2 linked regions of the Alligator mississippiensis genome follow. The protein of the gene in region 1 binds, or shares a complex with, the protein of each later gene. Links are inferred from orthologs where the notes say so. Each region holds a gene or a part of one and is shown on either strand. Other genes may lie near its edges. The genes, in order: CD40 and CD40LG.

Region 1 (7,663 bases):
CTGGCACGGCGTGCAGGAGCGCTCCTTTCCCAGCCAAGACGACAGCTTCCCTGCTTCGCGCACGGCTCCTCTCGCAGGGAAGCAGCGTGCGCTGTACGGGAGAAAACGCGGCAACAAGCAGAGGAAGGAGCCATCTTCCAGGTCTAACAAGGCAAACGTCACGAGACCTCCAGCGAACGAGGACCAGGTCCCAGGAGAGAGCAAAGCGTGCGCGGCCCCTGGGACCCGCCGTCCCTCGCCCCCGCTCCACCCCGCCCGGGGCAGAGCAGGGCCTGCCGCCGCGCGGACCGGAGGTGTCGCCCCGCCGGGCCGGGCCAGGCCGGGCCCCGCTCGCGCTACGGAGCCGTGCTCCACAGCGCCGCCGCCGGCCCGGGCCGGGCCCCGCGCGCCTCAGGGCGCTGGGACAAGCGGGACAAGACCCCCGCGCCCCGCCGCCCCTCACACCAGCCCGCCCCCCCGCCCGCCGCCGGCGGCACCACGGCCCCGCCCCGCCCCGCCCCGGGGACGGGCTCCGGCGGCCCCGCGCGGGGACCAGCGCCCCTGCAGGCTCCGGCGGCGGCCGCCACGTCCGGCTCCTCGCCCCCCGCCGCCGCCGCCGCGCGGAGGAGACGGGCCGGGCCGCTGCCCACCGGGGCCCGCTCCGCGCAGCGCGGACGAGCAGGGAGTGCCCCCCCCGCGAGACGTCCCGACACGACCCCCACGACGCGGCCGCACAGCGCACACCCCGCGGCCCGGACACCCTGTCACGGGAGCCCCGCGGCGGGCGGGCGGGCGCGGCCCGGCCCGGCAGAGGCGGCGGGAGGCCGAGAAAGGGCAACACTGCGCGGACGCGGTTCTTTGTCAGGCTTTTATTGGCGAAGGACTCGCGGGGCCCGCGCCCCCCCGGCCCCGCCCCGCCCCGCCCCGCCGCGGCCGCACTTACCGCCGGGCCCGGAGCCGCCGCCGCCGCGAGGACAAAGGCGCCAACCGCCCCCACAGCCGCTGCCGGAAAGCGAGACGGGACGGGGCAGGGGGCGGGGCCGCGACAGTGCCGCGCTTTACGGCACGGCCCGGTCACGTGGCCCGCCCGCCATGACGCACGCCGGGCGGCCGCGACAAAATGGCAGGCGCGCTCCGGCTCCCGGCGGCCCGTGCGGCAGCGGCCCCGCCCCGGGGCATGCTGGGGCATGTAGTCCCCAGGGGCTGCTGCGGGCCGCTCCCAAGCACCCCCTTTCCCCCACCGGGCCACGGCCACGGCCCGCCACTGTCCCGCGAGCTGCACCCCCGCGCCACGCCTGCGCTGCCTCCCCGCCTGGGAGGCTAGTCTGTAGCCTCCCCACGCGAAGGAGAGCGGCCCGTGGCGTGGAGGGCTGGGCCCGCGACTCCGAAGGTGGACAGACAGAGCACCCCTGCCAGCCTGGTAACCCGGGCCTGGGCCACGGCCACCCCGCCACGAGTGCCCCCGCCAGCCTTTGTGTCCTTGCTCCTAGTCCTGCCCCCTGCGGCCCCAGAGAAGAGCCGTCTCCATCCTGTCACAGCCCTTCAGGGCCTGGAAAACTGATCAAATCCCTGCTCCAGATTCAGCCCCAGCTCCTTGCCACTCCTGCCTCCGCCATGTTCTTGCTCTGCACTGGACTGTCCGTGGCAGACGTCCCCGTGGGGGGCAGCTGTGCCCTCTCCACCCCGCGGCAGGGCAACAGCGGCCGCGGGCACAGCACGGGGGAGTTCCCCTCCCTGCTCTGTGGCTCGCGTGGGCCCTGCCTGCAAACGCCCAAGTTCACGTCCGTGGCGGCTGCGCCCCGCGATGGCCACTGGGTGGCACCACGAGACCCCGCTCCCAGCCGCGCGGCTCCGGTGCGGGGGGCGCAGGCGAGACAACTCTCGGGCTCCCGGGGCTGGGCGCAGGCACTGCGCGGCTGCACTTTGCACAGCGCCTCCCGCATCCCCTGACTCCGGGAGCCGAGGCTTTTGCCGCTGGCCACGTGGTGCCAGCGACAGCCAAGGGGCCCGCTGCGTCGGTGCCCTGGCACGGACGGCCCTGATGCCAGCCCCGGCACTGCTCTGCCAGGAAGGGGCTGGAGCGGGCGGTTACGTCGACGCAGCGGGGGGCTGCTGGTGCTGGCGGGCTGGAAACAGCCCCCACAAGGGCCCTCGGGCGCCGGGCGGCCGTGGGAGCCGAGGGCCGGCCGGCCGGCAGAGGCTGCCTGGGCAGCCGAGCCGCAGGGCGGTGCGGGATTTCCCAGGCCCTGGTGCGAGCCCAGGCCCGGAAAGCCCCTCCCTCCCGCTCTGGTCTGGAGACACCCCTGGGACCTCTGCTTGGCACTTGAGACGCTGTTCTGGGAAGTGACGCGGCCCGCAGCCGGCAGAGCCTCCCTTCCCCTCCTGCCTCGCTCCAGCTGCGCCTGGCAGGGGCTGGGGCCAGGCACCACGGCGGGGGAGGGCACCACGCCGCCCTGCCACAGGCCCCGGCAGAGGGACGGCGCCGAGGGGAGCGCGGCTCACCCTCACACAGCCACCGGGCCGCGGGGCCAGGGACACGGGCACTGCTGGGCACTGCCCCGCGGGCGCACTGCAGCCACGTGAAAGGCATGGGGCCATTGCGCTGATGCCCCGGGCAGGGACAGCCCCGTCGCATCCTGTCTGCTGGCCGCATGGGTGTCTGTGGGCAGTCTGTGGCCGGAGGAGGGAGGGGGTGGGTGGCGAGGCTGCTGCCCTCCTGCTGGGCCTGCCGTCCGCGCGTGGGTGGCTGGGCAGAGTGCAGCTGGGGACCGACCCTCGCCCCCCAAGCACGGATGCGGGGCAAGAGCGGAGCGGAAAGGGTCCCCCCAGCCTGACAGGCCCTGGCACCGCGTAGGGTCCCACGGGCAGGCAGGCGCAGCACTTTGCCCCTTCCTGCCTGGCGTTTGCACTCTCAGGAGAAGCTGGAAAGTTGCAGAGGGAAGTAGGAGCGGGTTGGGAAAGCCTCCTCGTCAGCGGTGCGTGGAACTCCCCCGGGGCTGCCCGGTCCCCGGCCCCGGGGAATCCTCTGCTCCAGGCCCTGTGGACGCCCCGTCCTGGCTCTCTGTGCCCAGGGTCCTGGAGGCAGGAACAGCCCTGCGGGGGCTCTTGATGACGCAGCCCCTTTGACGGCCTGAGAATGCCCAGCCCCTGGTCCCAGCGTCACCCATGTCGCAGCAGTCCCCAGACAGAAGCTGAACTGAAACCCAGCACTTCTGCTTCCAGGATGACTGGCTAGAAAAGCCCGAGAACTGCCCCCACCATCCCCAGTGGCAGCTCTGGCCAACCTCCACTGGCAGCAAGGGGTGTCCAGAGGAGGCCACCCGCACGATCCGGGGGCAGCAGGGCAGGCCCTACGAGGAGAGGTGACGGGACCTGAACCTGTTCAGCCTCCACAAGAGAAGGCTGAGGGGGGACCTGGTGACTGTCTATGAACTCACTAGGGGGGACCAGAAGGGTTTGGGGGAGACCCTGTTTCTCCGAGCGCCCCCCAGGATAACAAGGAGTAACGGCCACAAGTCGTGGGAGAGTAGGTTCAGATTAGACATCTGTAGGAACTACTTCAGTCAGGGCGGCTAGGATCTGGAACCGACTTCCACGGGAAGTGGTGTTGGCTCCTACCTGGGGGTCTTTAAGAAGCGGCTCGATGCCTACCTGCCTGGGGTCACTTGAGCCCGGTTTCTCTCCTGCCCAGGCAGGGGTCGGACCTGAAGATCTACAAGGTCCCGCCCGACCCGACTTCTATGAGTCTATGATGCTATGACACCTCAGGGCTGCTCGTGCCCCCGTGCGGACCCCTGCTTGCTATGCGAGGGCGCCCGCCTGCCACCAGATCGGGCAGACACGGCCGGACACGGGCATGTGGGGCTGCCAGGAGCCCAGGGGAGCCACAGGCTCTGGTGAGGGCAGGGGATCATCCCCGGGCTCTGGACAGCTCTAGGGGCAAAATGGGGGGCAGAAGGATCTGTGGGACAGTGCCACGAGGCCCTGCTCACATGGGCAAGCACGTCGTGGCCTTGCCACGCCCCGGCTTGCAGCCAGGCCAGTGCCTGCCCCTCCGGGGCGCCTGTTCCTGAACCGCCCTGCCCTGGCAAGGAGAAACTCCCATGCTGAGCACGCGCCGGCACCCAGCTCAGGACACAGCGCAGGCCAAGCCGGCCCCGCGGAGCGCGGGACCGCTGGGGCCGGGCAGCTGCCTGCAGGGCAGGCGGGAGGAGGAGGCCACGGGGGCCACAGCAGCTATAGGAGGCCATGCCCCGTGGCTCCCGGCCAGGCCTGCCTGGCACACGGAGCTGTCCTGCCGGACTTCCCTGTGCCAGGAGACCGGGGAGACAGGAGGAGCAGGCCTGTGTCCACGAGCCCCGCAGCCGGGCGCTCGGCACAGCAGAGCACGCACTGGGGTGGCAGCACCCAACGCAGCCCGACGTGCCTGGGCTGCACCCGGGACCGGCTCAGGGATGCTGCGGCGCGTCCCCCCGCATGGGTGCTGCGGCTGCCAGCCTGCCGAGGCCTGTTCTCACCCCACCTCGCTGGCCGGGGGCCAAGGGAAATCCTGGCTGGGCTGCGTGGCCCAGCCCTGGCTGAAGCAGACGGGGAGTTTTTCTGCGGGGGCTGGGCCCCCCCTGCCCTGCCCTGCCCTGCAGCGCGGATTGGATCTGGACAGCCCCAGCCCTTTCCTGGGCGGCCACGGGACTGCAAGTACAAGAGGTAGCCGCCCCGCCGGCGCAGGAGTGTCCCTCGCAGCATGGAGCCCTGCTGTCTGCTCGGCCTCCTCTGGCTACTCTGCCGAGGCCTCTTGGGCGTGAGTTTCACTTTCTCTTCCCTCCCCAGGTGCGACCCACGAGCCAGACCCGGCTGCCAGGCTGCTGCCGGGCTCCACGCACCCCCCGGCCGCCGGTGCAGGGGCTGGAGCGGGCCAGGGAGGCCTTCGAGCCGCTTGGCAGCCTCTGCTAGGACCCCCAGCTCAGCCCTGGCCCATCGGGGCGCAGCGGGGAGGGGGGACCTTGGCGCCTGCCTGGGCAGGGGTGTTGGCGCAGAGGCCGCGGCGAATGGGCGGGGGGAGAGCCGGCGCTGGCTGGGCACTGCCTGGTGTTCGGCTGGACCGGGGAGCCCCGTTCCCAGGGGCCGTGCCTCGGGGACAGCCGTACCTCGATGCCTGTGGGGCAGAGACGGGCTCAGGGCATGCGGGGCAGCTGGGCAGGCCCCCAGGATCCCTTTGCAACCTGGAGGCCCATGGGTGCCAGTGAGGCGTTGGGGGGCCGTGGCCATCCCAGGTCCTCTGCCCTGCACCGGCGAGGGCACCGATTTGTCTCATTCAATTCCCGTGGGCCAGGGAAGGCGCCTGGCCCAGCTTTGGCGACACGGGGGCCCCTGCCTGGGCAGCGGAGCGTGCCGGTGCCGGTGCCGGTGCCCTGCTCGGAGCTTGGGAATCCCTCGATTTCCCAGCACGGCCAGACCCCAGCACGGCTGCCTCTCGCTCCCAGGCCGAAGCAGGCTGCAGGGGACAGGGCTCAGCCGTGCTGCCGCAGAGCCTGGCTGGGCACGGGCACGGGCACGGGCACGGGCTGCGTGCGGGGCAGGAGCGTGGAGAAGGGGCAGGCTGCGGGGGCTGAAGGGACACGGGCTGGGGTGGAGGGGTGGAAGCAGACAGGGCTGCGCGTAGGCGGCGGGGGATCCCAGGCAAGCGGAGGCGTCTCTCGGTTCCCCTTTCGGAGGCATTGACCGTGACCCAGGGTCCCATCCTGCCCGGGGCCCCATCAGGCAGTTCCCTCCCTGAGGGCAGAGCCCCAGCCCCACAGAACCGCCCATGGACCCCGGCTAGGGCACACGCCGCCCCGGACCCTGGTGCCTGGCAGGGCTGAGCCCCAGGGCAGGGGCAGCTGCAGGGGCATCTGCTGCACCGCCGGCCCAGGAGGGTTGTTTGCTTGCCGACAACCCCTGCTGTACTGCTGGGGGAGCCTGGCCCAGCTTCACCCCAGGGAAGGGGCACCCCAGGTCCGCCTGCCAGGCGGGGGCCCAGCACTGCCGCCAGGGGAGGAGGCTGAGCCCTGAGCCACCACCTGGGCTCCCAGCCCTGCCCCTGCCCTGGCTGCCTGCTCAGGCGGGGCAGACACGCGTGGGCCCTGCCTTCGCCAGCTGCTAGGAGATGTGGTCAGGGCACTGACATGTGCCCGCCGCAGCAGAACCGCTGGCATCCCACTTCAGGGAGGCGCGGGCGGCGCGGGGGCGGCAGAGCTCCGGTCCCAGTGGTTGTGGTTATGTGGGCAGGGTGAGAGCGAGCGCAGGGTGCACGGCCCGTGCCAGGCGGCACCGTCCAGGGGAGGGGAGCCAGGTCTGGGGCAGGTGGGAGCCAGGCCTGCGGTGGCTGAGCTCTGTGCTCTGCTCGGTTCCAGCACTCGGCCGCTGGGACGGACATCCGATGCAGTGAGAGGCAGTACGTGCACGAGGGCAGGTGCTGCAACCGCTGCGCCCCAGGTACAGAGCAGATCCCTTCCCTGCCCCTCCCTGCGCCAGAGCCTCGGCCCAGAGGGGACCAGCTCGGCTACCTTGGCCCCAGGGCCAGGACCTGGGCTCGGTGCTGCCTGCAGAGCTGGCCGGTCTCGCCCCCTGTGCCCAGTGGCACCTCCTTGGGTGCTGGGGGCACGGCAGGTGCTGGGCTCCATGGGCAGCTGCACCAGGCAGGAAGCAAACGCGGGTGCTGTGTGTTGCAGGAGAGAAGGTGACGGCTGCATGCAGCGAGGCGTTGGAATGGTCCACCTGTGCCCCCTGCGAGGTGGGGTCCTTCCAGGCCCACTGGACCAAGGAGAATCACTGCATGCCCCACAGATACTGCGACCCCAGTAGGTGCCGGCACAGGGCTGTCTGCCAGGCAGGCAGCAGTCACGCAGCCCTGCCCATGCTCCAGCAGCCCCTGCCACAGGAGGGGCCTGGCCATGGCTGGCTCCGTGGCCCACCTTTCCCTCCCTCCCTTCCTTTGGCAGATGTTGGCCTGGTGGTAAAGACGCCGGGGAGTGAGAAACAGGATGTCACATGTGGCTGCCAGGTGGGCATGCACTGCACCAGCGCCCAGTGCCAGACCTGCAAGCTGAACCCCCGCTGCAAGCCAGGCTTCGGGGTTGTGCCAAGAGGTGAGTGCGGCCTGGCACTTGCAACCCGAGAGGTCACAGGGCCATGCTGCCCTGCACAACCCTGGCTCCCCACCGCCAGGTCACAGCAGCCCCAGCAGGGGCAGGCGAACAGGCCATCGGCTCCGAAGCACAGAGCGGGTGCAGGGACCTCCCAGGGGGTGCAGCCGGCCCTGCTCAGGCAGGCATGCATGCTGCACCTGCTCTGGGGGAGCCTGGCAGACAGGTTGGGGTGTCCTCGTTCGTGCCCCACACCTTCTCCTGCCCCCCCGCCTGCCTGACGCTCACCCCTGCGGTCGTCTCGGCTCTGTTCCAGCCCAGGAGGATGCGCCCCCCACGTGCCAGCCCTGCCCGGACGGCAGCTTCTCCAATGTCACCTCTGACAGCAAGCCATGCCAGCCCTGGAGCAGGTACTGCAGGGTGGGGGTGCGGCGCTGGGAGGTCAGCCAGGGAGGGGAGCGGTGGCTGTGAGTGAGGGAGCCCGGAGACACTTGCCGGCAGGGACACGCCTGGCAAAACCCTGGCTTTCCCTCCATGGTCTGTGGGGTCTGGGCTCATGAAGC
Region 2 (8,199 bases), on another chromosome or scaffold:
CCCGTTGTGCTGAATGCAGCTGCGCAATCACACACTGCTGCGGCAACTGCTGCTTTTGCACCCCCTTACAAAAGCGGCACCCAGGGCTGCTGCCCTGCTTGCTTCCCCTCAGTTATGCTAATTCCTGAGCGCCAGTGCAAACAAGGATTTCCTTATACCTTTGTTTCCACCGTGTGATTGGTAGCGGTTGTGCTGGCAGGATCAGGCTTCCAGATTCTAGCGACAGTTGCAAAAGAGCAATTCCATTGACTTCAGAGGAGTTAGTCTCCATTTAACTTCCATTTAACTAAGACTGAAATCTGGCCTAGGATGTAAAAGCACACCAAAGTTGCTTTTTAAATAAAGCTTGTAAGACTGTGTACGGGTGTGTGCACCTGTGTAGACCCAGCCTCTTACCTTCATTAGCAGATGCTTCAACCTGTCTGTAATCTTCTTACAGTCCAGTAATGAAGATTCCACACCTTCTGGTTTCTGACATTCGTGTAATCTTCTCAGGAATAAGAAATCTTCATTTAAGCTCATCCCATCTTTCAGCTGCAAGCGAGATGACAGAAAGGGTAAAAGGAATGCTAGTGGGAGAGTGGCCAGGTGACAAAGGAAAACAGGCAAACCTTATTCTGAAATGATAATTCACAAATGGGTAAGCCCCCCATCCCACATCTCTTGATGACTTGACGTCCAGACCCAGACAAAATTCTCTTGCACTTCAATGGGAATTTTGCTCACATCGCATCTGGGAGGCTAAACCTCACAACATATTTCTACCTGAACTGTGCAACAACAAGTGAAACCTACTGTCAGGTCTTTAGTATTAATTCACATTACATTCCACTCCTCCCCCCTTTGAAAAGGTAGGACATGCATCACCTTGACAACAGATATCGGCTCAGAAATCTGGACCAGTCATTAAAGGCTTGATCTCTGGCCGGTACTCACGTGGATCTGTACCTGCTCTAATTAGTTTGTCCCAGTGAAATCAAAGATGCTGCTCATAACCAGGACAGGGCAAATTCTTTTTAGTGGAGAGTTTATTTGCCAAAAAATATGGTTTTGAGGAGACTGAAATTAGTTGTGAACTGCGGTCAAATTCGGTAATAGCTTCAGACAGAAAATGTGAAAAAATGGAAGCTCTATCATTTCTTTAGAATGTTTAGAAACTAAACTTTAATGAGTTGTCATTTTGAAACTTTTTTGTCCCAAAAAAATCACAAAATTTAATTTAAAAAAATGGGGTTAAAACTGTTGAAAACCAAGCAGGTTCCCTAAGGTCTGCATCAGTGGAGAGTCTACAGGTCAGGCTGTTCACAGTAAAATGGTAGAGTCAGATTTTTAAAAAGCCAAAAACTTCCTACAACCTCTAATTATCATCTTCTTTAAAACCAAACCAGTTGATGCTGTTAATTTTGGGAAAGTGACATTTTCTATTGCTGCAGCAGTAACCAGTCATTCCATCCACTGGACAGACTTTGACTCCTGCTCTCACTTTGAATCGTGTCTGCAGGTGTAATGGCTATTTAGTGCCCTATAGATGGTGATGGCACATGGAGTTGCCAACAGTGAGGCCAGAAGCACAATAGTTGCTCTTTTTTTGTCCCTCACCCCTCCAGTCAGCACCCAGGGATGGTGACCTGGACACCCCCATAGATATACTACTGGTAGCGCCAAATGGCAGAAAGGTGCAACTGGAGGAGAACAAGGATTTTGCAAACCAGTATGAATGTTGTACCACTGTGATTCTCACAGACTAATTCCCCAGTTGCACTTAGGCAGACAAGGTTCTTTGGGCAAATGTGATATCTTCTAACACCAACTATTGGTCTAATAAAAGATATAATATAAAAGATGTCACATTTATCCAAATAACCTGTTTGCCTATATCCTTAGACCAACACAGCTATAGCTAACACCCCATTCGCACTTACACTTTTGAAGCCCAGTTCTACACTTCATATATATGCAAACTGAATACTCCACACTCATTAACATTTCAATTATGAATGTGAACCTAAAATGATTATTTTTTTACATTTCACTAAGAAAAACATTCTTTTGCACTGTTTAAGTTGAACACATTTGATTCTATATATATTTTAATTGGCTTTCCTGCTATATCTCTTCGCTGCTGTTTGAGTAAAACTTAGTTTTAAATAAGGTGGCGTTAGATGGCTTATCCACCACTGGAGCAACAGCAACATTGAAAACAGCTTTTACATTTCAAATTCTTTAATAAACATTCTCAGAAGCATAAGGCAAAACCATTTGGATTGTGTCTATTTAAAAATAAGTCTACTCTTTTTTTCTTAATGTATAAAGATTTGTAAAGTGAAACTGACTCTAAAACTTTTACATAAAAATTCGCTTTTGGCATTACTCTCTCTTTCTAAGTGTCACTATAAATCATAATACAACTGGGTCTTAAATACTATCACAAATTAAAAGGTATCCATTTACTCCCAAAGAGCATGGAATCATCATTCACGGTGTTCACACTGACTTGAACGCAATACTTTCTGTCATCTCTGAATTTAACCTGATCAAATACACTTGTTTTGATATAATTTACACTTCGCTTTGCTGATCCAGAATTCTTTTATTAATTGCATGATTCATTAGCAAAATATATCTTCTGTACAAATATTCAAGTCTGTGAACTTTATATAATTTAAACATATCTTTTTTCTTCAGCAAGTGGCAGATTAAGACCCAAACAAGAAAATGTATGCAATACATGCCACTTCTATATAAGAAAATTATTAACAGCTTTTGCATCATTATTCATCTTTGTTCAACAGTTTTCTCTGTGCTGAAAGTAAATCATTTTAGTACTGGTCCAGTTAACACAGTCCTACTACTAATCTTACCTTGTCCAACTGCATGTGAAAATATAAGCAAAACAGTGCAGTCCCAATAGTCTGTGCTACAATAAATACACTAAGAAAGCATATCAAAATTTTCATGCTGATTGATGAGCGGGTACTCGTAGGTCTAGGTGTCGTTGGGGCATAAGGTTCATTCATTCTGTATTCACGTTGCTGAGGCTTCCTCTTCAAAAGTTGTAGTCATGAGCAGCATAAGAACTGTCCCTGGTAACACGCGACTCAAGATAGTTAAAGCATGCAAGATTGTCACAGCCCACACTTCCTGGAAAAAACCCTTCGTAGTGGGGAGGTTTGTTCACTACCATCTCCCACAACAAAAACGTTGCTTAAACTTTCTTCGGCTGCTCACTTCCAGGCTTTTTCCTATTGTTCTGTCAGAGTCAGTTGAATATTCTTATTCCATGTATTCATATTTGCCCCGAAACACTCTAGAGCATTACCCCTTTTTTTTCCTTTCGCGGACAAACATTTCACGGCTGATGACTTCAAAGAAATGAGGGAAACAAATCCATGAGTAAAGTGATTGAATTTCAGTGAAGGTGGTAAAAGGGTTGGAAACAGTCAAACACTAATTGTTTCAGAACAAGGGAAAAGAGCCTTCGTTAACTCATTGTTTTCCTGAGAGAGGAAGGATGGGTTTGTAGTTACGACAAAAACTAGAAATCAAGAGAAACAAGTGCAGTTCTGCCAGGCCAGGCCTCTCTTGGCCTGCTGTCTGGTCCCATGTAAACCAGCACAGCTGGTTCCATGGTCAGGTTGTCAGTGACTAAACTGGCACACCAACCTAGGCTAGCCTGGGTGAGGAGGGTACGTGAGCTAAAAGCAAGACCTTTCAAAGGGCAGATGAGCCCCCTGTGAACCAATGGCCATCCATGCATAAAGACCAGTTCACTTTGCCCAAAGAATCACCAATGATGCACAGCAGCTAAGGTGCCCTGATGGTCACAGCAGCCTCAGGACTGACTTGATTTGAAGTGCAGTTCTGGGCTTTATTGCCTACTCCTTGCGTGACTTTGGACAAGCCACATAATGTCTCTACAACTCATTTCACTACATGTACAAAGGGGATGGTGATACTCCTTTTGTCTAATGTAAGCACTTTTGAGAAAGGGAATTTGAGAACGTAAGCACCTTGGGAAAGGGACCAGCTCTTTTGGTAGCTGGCCCAGTGGGGCCCCCAACTTTGTTGGGGCTTTTTGATGCTACCAGAACTATAACAGTAGCGGGGGGGCTTTCACCTCCTCCCCATTATTTGCTTTTCAAGATAGCTTTCTTTGAGCCTTCTGAACTGCACCATGATGTCCCAAGCTGCTTCCACTGGCACATACTGGCTAAATGCAATGAAATGTGTCCTTAAAAAGAGAAAGTCCATTGAAAGTCAGCCCCAAATAAGCAATGATCCAAGAGGCATAACCCGTAATCCTTGCTCAGGCAAAACTCCCCAGGCACTATGCTTGGGTTGGCCAAAAAGGGTGGGAAGAACAGGGGATCTTGGCCAGCTGTCTTGTGCAGTTGTATTCTCACTGACCATGCTCTTCACCCCAAAGCTGTCTGTCTTCACTGATACAGACAGGCTGCTGCACAGCACAGATTTTTGTGTCCACTGCCTGATCCTCTTAGGGAGAAAGCCAAGCCTGTCATTCCTGGCAGGCACGGGAACTCTAGCAATTAACGCACTAGCCGGGGACTTGGGAAATCTGCATTTATTTCTGCCGTGCACTTCCTACCCAATCCTGGGCAAGGGGGTTCAAACCTCTCCATGCTTCTGATGCCCAATTGTAACATTGGGTAACAAACCCTTCCTTCACCTGGCTTGTCAAATCAGACTGTAAGCTCCTGAAGGCAGAGGCAGCCTCCTCCTGCTTGTCTGCACAACATCCAGCACACTGGGACTCTGGGTTCAGCCAGGTTCTGGGCACCACGGTAGTAACATTGGCCTAATCCAGCAAAGTCCCCAATATTCATAATTGGTGTGGGGGCTCTGGTCCAGAGAGATAAAGAGCACCTGTTGCAAACAGCCAAGTCCTCTTAGCTGTAACATGGGAACCTGCTGTCTACAATGTAAATCAGAGGGTTTGGTCTTTGTTAAAATTGTTTTACAAAGACTATGTTAAATGTTATAAATTTATCAGACTTTTGCACTTCAGCTAAAAGAGTCAGATCCTGTGTGAGCATCAGTGGTGCCAGCAGCAAACTGAGCTCTGCTCCACTCTGCCTGAGGGCCCTGGGGGTAAAAGATGCTCAGTACCTTGCAGGGAATGCTCAGCACTTTGCAGGATGGGCCTGAAGTTTGTTTCAGCTCTACACCCACTCTCCAGCATCCTGTCCTGTGTGGTTCAGAGTTGTTAGCTGCAAAAGCAAATGCTGGTAACAAGCACAAACACCTCTGCCACCAACTCTGCCTCTGACCTTGGGCAGCTCACCAAACCACTCTGCTCCTAAATTTAGTACTGCAAAACAAGGTGCACCAATAGTGCCAGAAGTCTTAATATTGACAGAATAAAATACAAGGCAGGAAGGCTGTGTGGTTAAAGCATAGGGCTGGGACTCAGGAACTCTGCCAGTTTCCCTGGGCAAGTTCTTTGTCTTAGGACATCCCCCTCCAACTAGTAAGTAGAAATGACTATCCTTCTTTTGTCCATCTTATCTCTCTAGATCACATCTTTAGGGTAGGGGCTGCCCCTTATAACGCACATATACAGCACTTGTAGTGAGTGATCATGGGTGATGTTAACCTAAATATCACAACAGCCTCTTTTTGTAGTGACCAGCTCCATTTCACGATTCTTTTGCACACAAGCAACCTGACAAGGGTATCTTCTTTGCTATTTCTATGTGAAAATAATTACCTCACTGCCCTTATTAGTCAAGCCCCAGCCCATTCTTCACACGAGAGCCTCTTGAACAACACTGTCCTCTGCGAGGGCTGCAGGAAGTGAGGTTGAAAAATTGATAGGAGGCAAAAAGGCTCCTCCACGCCCTCAGTCCCGGGTCACCTCCGCCTCTGGATTCCCCAGAACATCCTGTTTTCTCTATGTCCCTGGTCTGGTCCACTGATGTTTCGGGGAAGGGACTGTTGTTAGTTTTATATATCACAGAATGGCAAATACCATCATTATTACCATGATGACAGAAAATAGACTGCCTGATGCATAGACTTCTGGAGTCAGTAGAAAGAGACTCCCATTGCCTTCCATGCGATGTTGCTCAGTGGGGGTTCAGGGGCCCATCTTCCTAATCAGTGTATGCACACACACACATACATTGAGGGTACTCCCTGACCAGCATTTATGATCCTTTTTTACTTAATTAACCCCTTTACCAGTGCAGATCTAGGCGCTCTGCAAAGACTTGTTCCAAAACTTGAGGATTCGTATCTAGTCTAGAGGCACTCTCAAGCCCAAGAAGTTAACTATTTAGACAGGCCTAAGAGACAAAAAGAGCTTTCTCCGCTGGTGGGAAGTGGGGACATGGCAAGATAAAGTGACATGTCACGGAGGAAGCTTGTGGGCATGTCTTCACTGCCTTTTGACCAGGCTAGGAAGCATCAGCATGAGACCATGCCCCTCCCTCTAGCTCTTGCTCCACGTGTGATGCCAGAAAAAATGTACCATAGCTGCTATCATGGCCCACTGCATGCTCAATGCCTCTCCCACCCCCAGCTAGTTTGCACCCGACACTTACAATCGTTCAATGACAGGTGGGTAGCATTTGGCATGGGTGAAGCAGGGAGAGCATGTTTCTTGGTGGCATTCCCTAGCGGGAGGCAGTGTAGACAGGCACCAGGATGGATCCAGAAATCACACCAATGTGTTTCTAATTCCTGACCCCATGACTCCACCATTTGATAAGAACCCACATTTCCCCAACTTCTTCAAAGTTTCCTCTGAAGTGAACACTTGTATTGAGGGCAACTCTTTAAAAACGAGAAAAAAAAATTGCTACCTTCAGTCATTACTTAATACTTTCCCCGAATCCTGCAGTGTCAAGGCTGAGCTAAGTCTACAAGGTGTGAAACCACAGTGATGAGTTTTGTAAAGAGCAGCCACTGAGGTTTTTGCATAGATATTCCTAAACCCTGGCTGTCACTTGCAAATGAAAGCTGCTTCTGGAGTGCTACTTAGCAACTATTTCACCGAAATGAGCAGAACTTTTGACTAACACCGGAAACCCTTAAAACACTGGGGGCCTGTTTAACATGCAACCTTCAAGGGAGTGGAGAGGCAGGAGGAGACAGTATCTTCTAGAACCGTGTTCAAAAGGCTGAAGATGTGAACCAGGTGTCTGGGACGGCCTCAGATTTTGATTGTCCCTCTTGAAACACCTCAAAGGGAACTCAGCTAGCAAGGACAAGTGTTCAGCCCATTCTGAGAACTGGGCCCCTTTCTCAGACATCTTGAATGGGAAACCCTAGTCGCTATTGAAAGTCTTGGCTTCAAGTCACTTTGAACAATGACATCTAAAGGATGATATGAGGTTGGGGCCACCGATAGAGGCTTGTCAGTGCCCCCTTGGGGATGTATCTGTGCAGCCACTGCTCCAGAAAGCATCACTTCCCATCAGCCATCCCTCTGCTCATCACCTTGCAACTCATTTGGCTAAGTGTGTAGGAAAGCTGATGTCAAGACAACTCTGAATGCTGTGGGGCCTTGGATCTCTCAGCCCCACTATGACTCTGGGTACTAGCTTGGGCAAGGCCTTTCAACTGCTATGGCTGAATTGGGAACAGCGTCAATACTCTGGGCTCCGTCAGAAGCCTTCGATGCCACTGACTGGGAAGGGCTGTTGACTCATGTGCGAACTTTGATGTGGGTGGGCACAGCCGTCCTAAGAAAACCCTGTTGGTTTTTTTGCTGAGCAGTGCTTGACAGCTGTTGCTTCCATCTCAGAGAGCTCTCTTGTTCCCCATGTCCAAGTGGTACATTTGGGGCTGCTGGGAGAATTGAGAAAGAGAGACTGTTGTTGATGCCCAGCACTGTCGCTCAGTACCACTAAGCCCAGCCAGAGCATTCAACTGCCTAGGCCAGCGTGGGATAGGATCAAGGCACTGATGGGAATGAGCAGCTATAATTTCAAGGCCTTGAAGAAAGCCAAAGCCCATACTGTGTGCTGCCCCATCTACCCCACATATGGAGGATGCAGTCATCTGGGTGCTGAGGGAGATGTAACTAGATTTAGGCAGACTGCAACTAGATTTAGACAGACTACAAAAGTGGGCAGATGAGAATAGGATGGGGTTCAACGCAGACAAATGCAGGGTGCTGCACCTTGGGAGAAGGAATCCACAGCACACATACAGGCTGGGGAGTTCCCCTCTCGA

What was found.
Region 2: the proteins of CD40 (region 1) and CD40LG are in contact, whole or in part, in a crystal structure (PDB 3QD6), measured with the Homo sapiens proteins. The link is inferred for Alligator mississippiensis from reciprocal best matches to the Homo sapiens genes CD40 and CD40LG. Residues at the interface, in NP_001241.1 of Homo sapiens: Glu64, Ser65, Glu66, His76, Cys77, Gln79, Tyr82, Asp84, Asn86, Leu87, Trp109, Cys119; in NP_000065.1 of Homo sapiens: Ile127, Glu129, Ala130, Lys143, Gly144, Tyr145, Tyr146, Cys178, Pro217, Cys218, Gln220, Ser245, Gln246, Ser248, His249, Gly250, Thr251, Gly252.

Annotation. Positions count from the first base shown.
Region 1 is NC_081832.1:490,620-498,282, reverse strand, and holds the start of CD40 (tumor necrosis factor receptor superfamily member 5), read left to right. Parts: upstream 1-4,525; 5' UTR 4,526-4,720; coding exon 4,721-4,777; intron 4,778-6,368; coding exon 6,369-6,450; intron 6,451-6,686; coding exon 6,687-6,815; intron 6,816-6,956; coding exon 6,957-7,103; intron 7,104-7,416; coding exon 7,417-7,510; intron 7,511-7,663.
Region 2 is NC_081831.1:79,828,404-79,836,602, forward strand, and holds the start of CD40LG (CD40 ligand), read right to left. Parts: upstream 3,061-8,199; 5' UTR 3,018-3,060; coding exon 2,862-3,017; intron 535-2,861; coding exon 397-534; intron 1-396. UniProt on the Homo sapiens protein: Cytokine that acts as a ligand to CD40/TNFRSF5. Costimulates T-cell proliferation and cytokine production.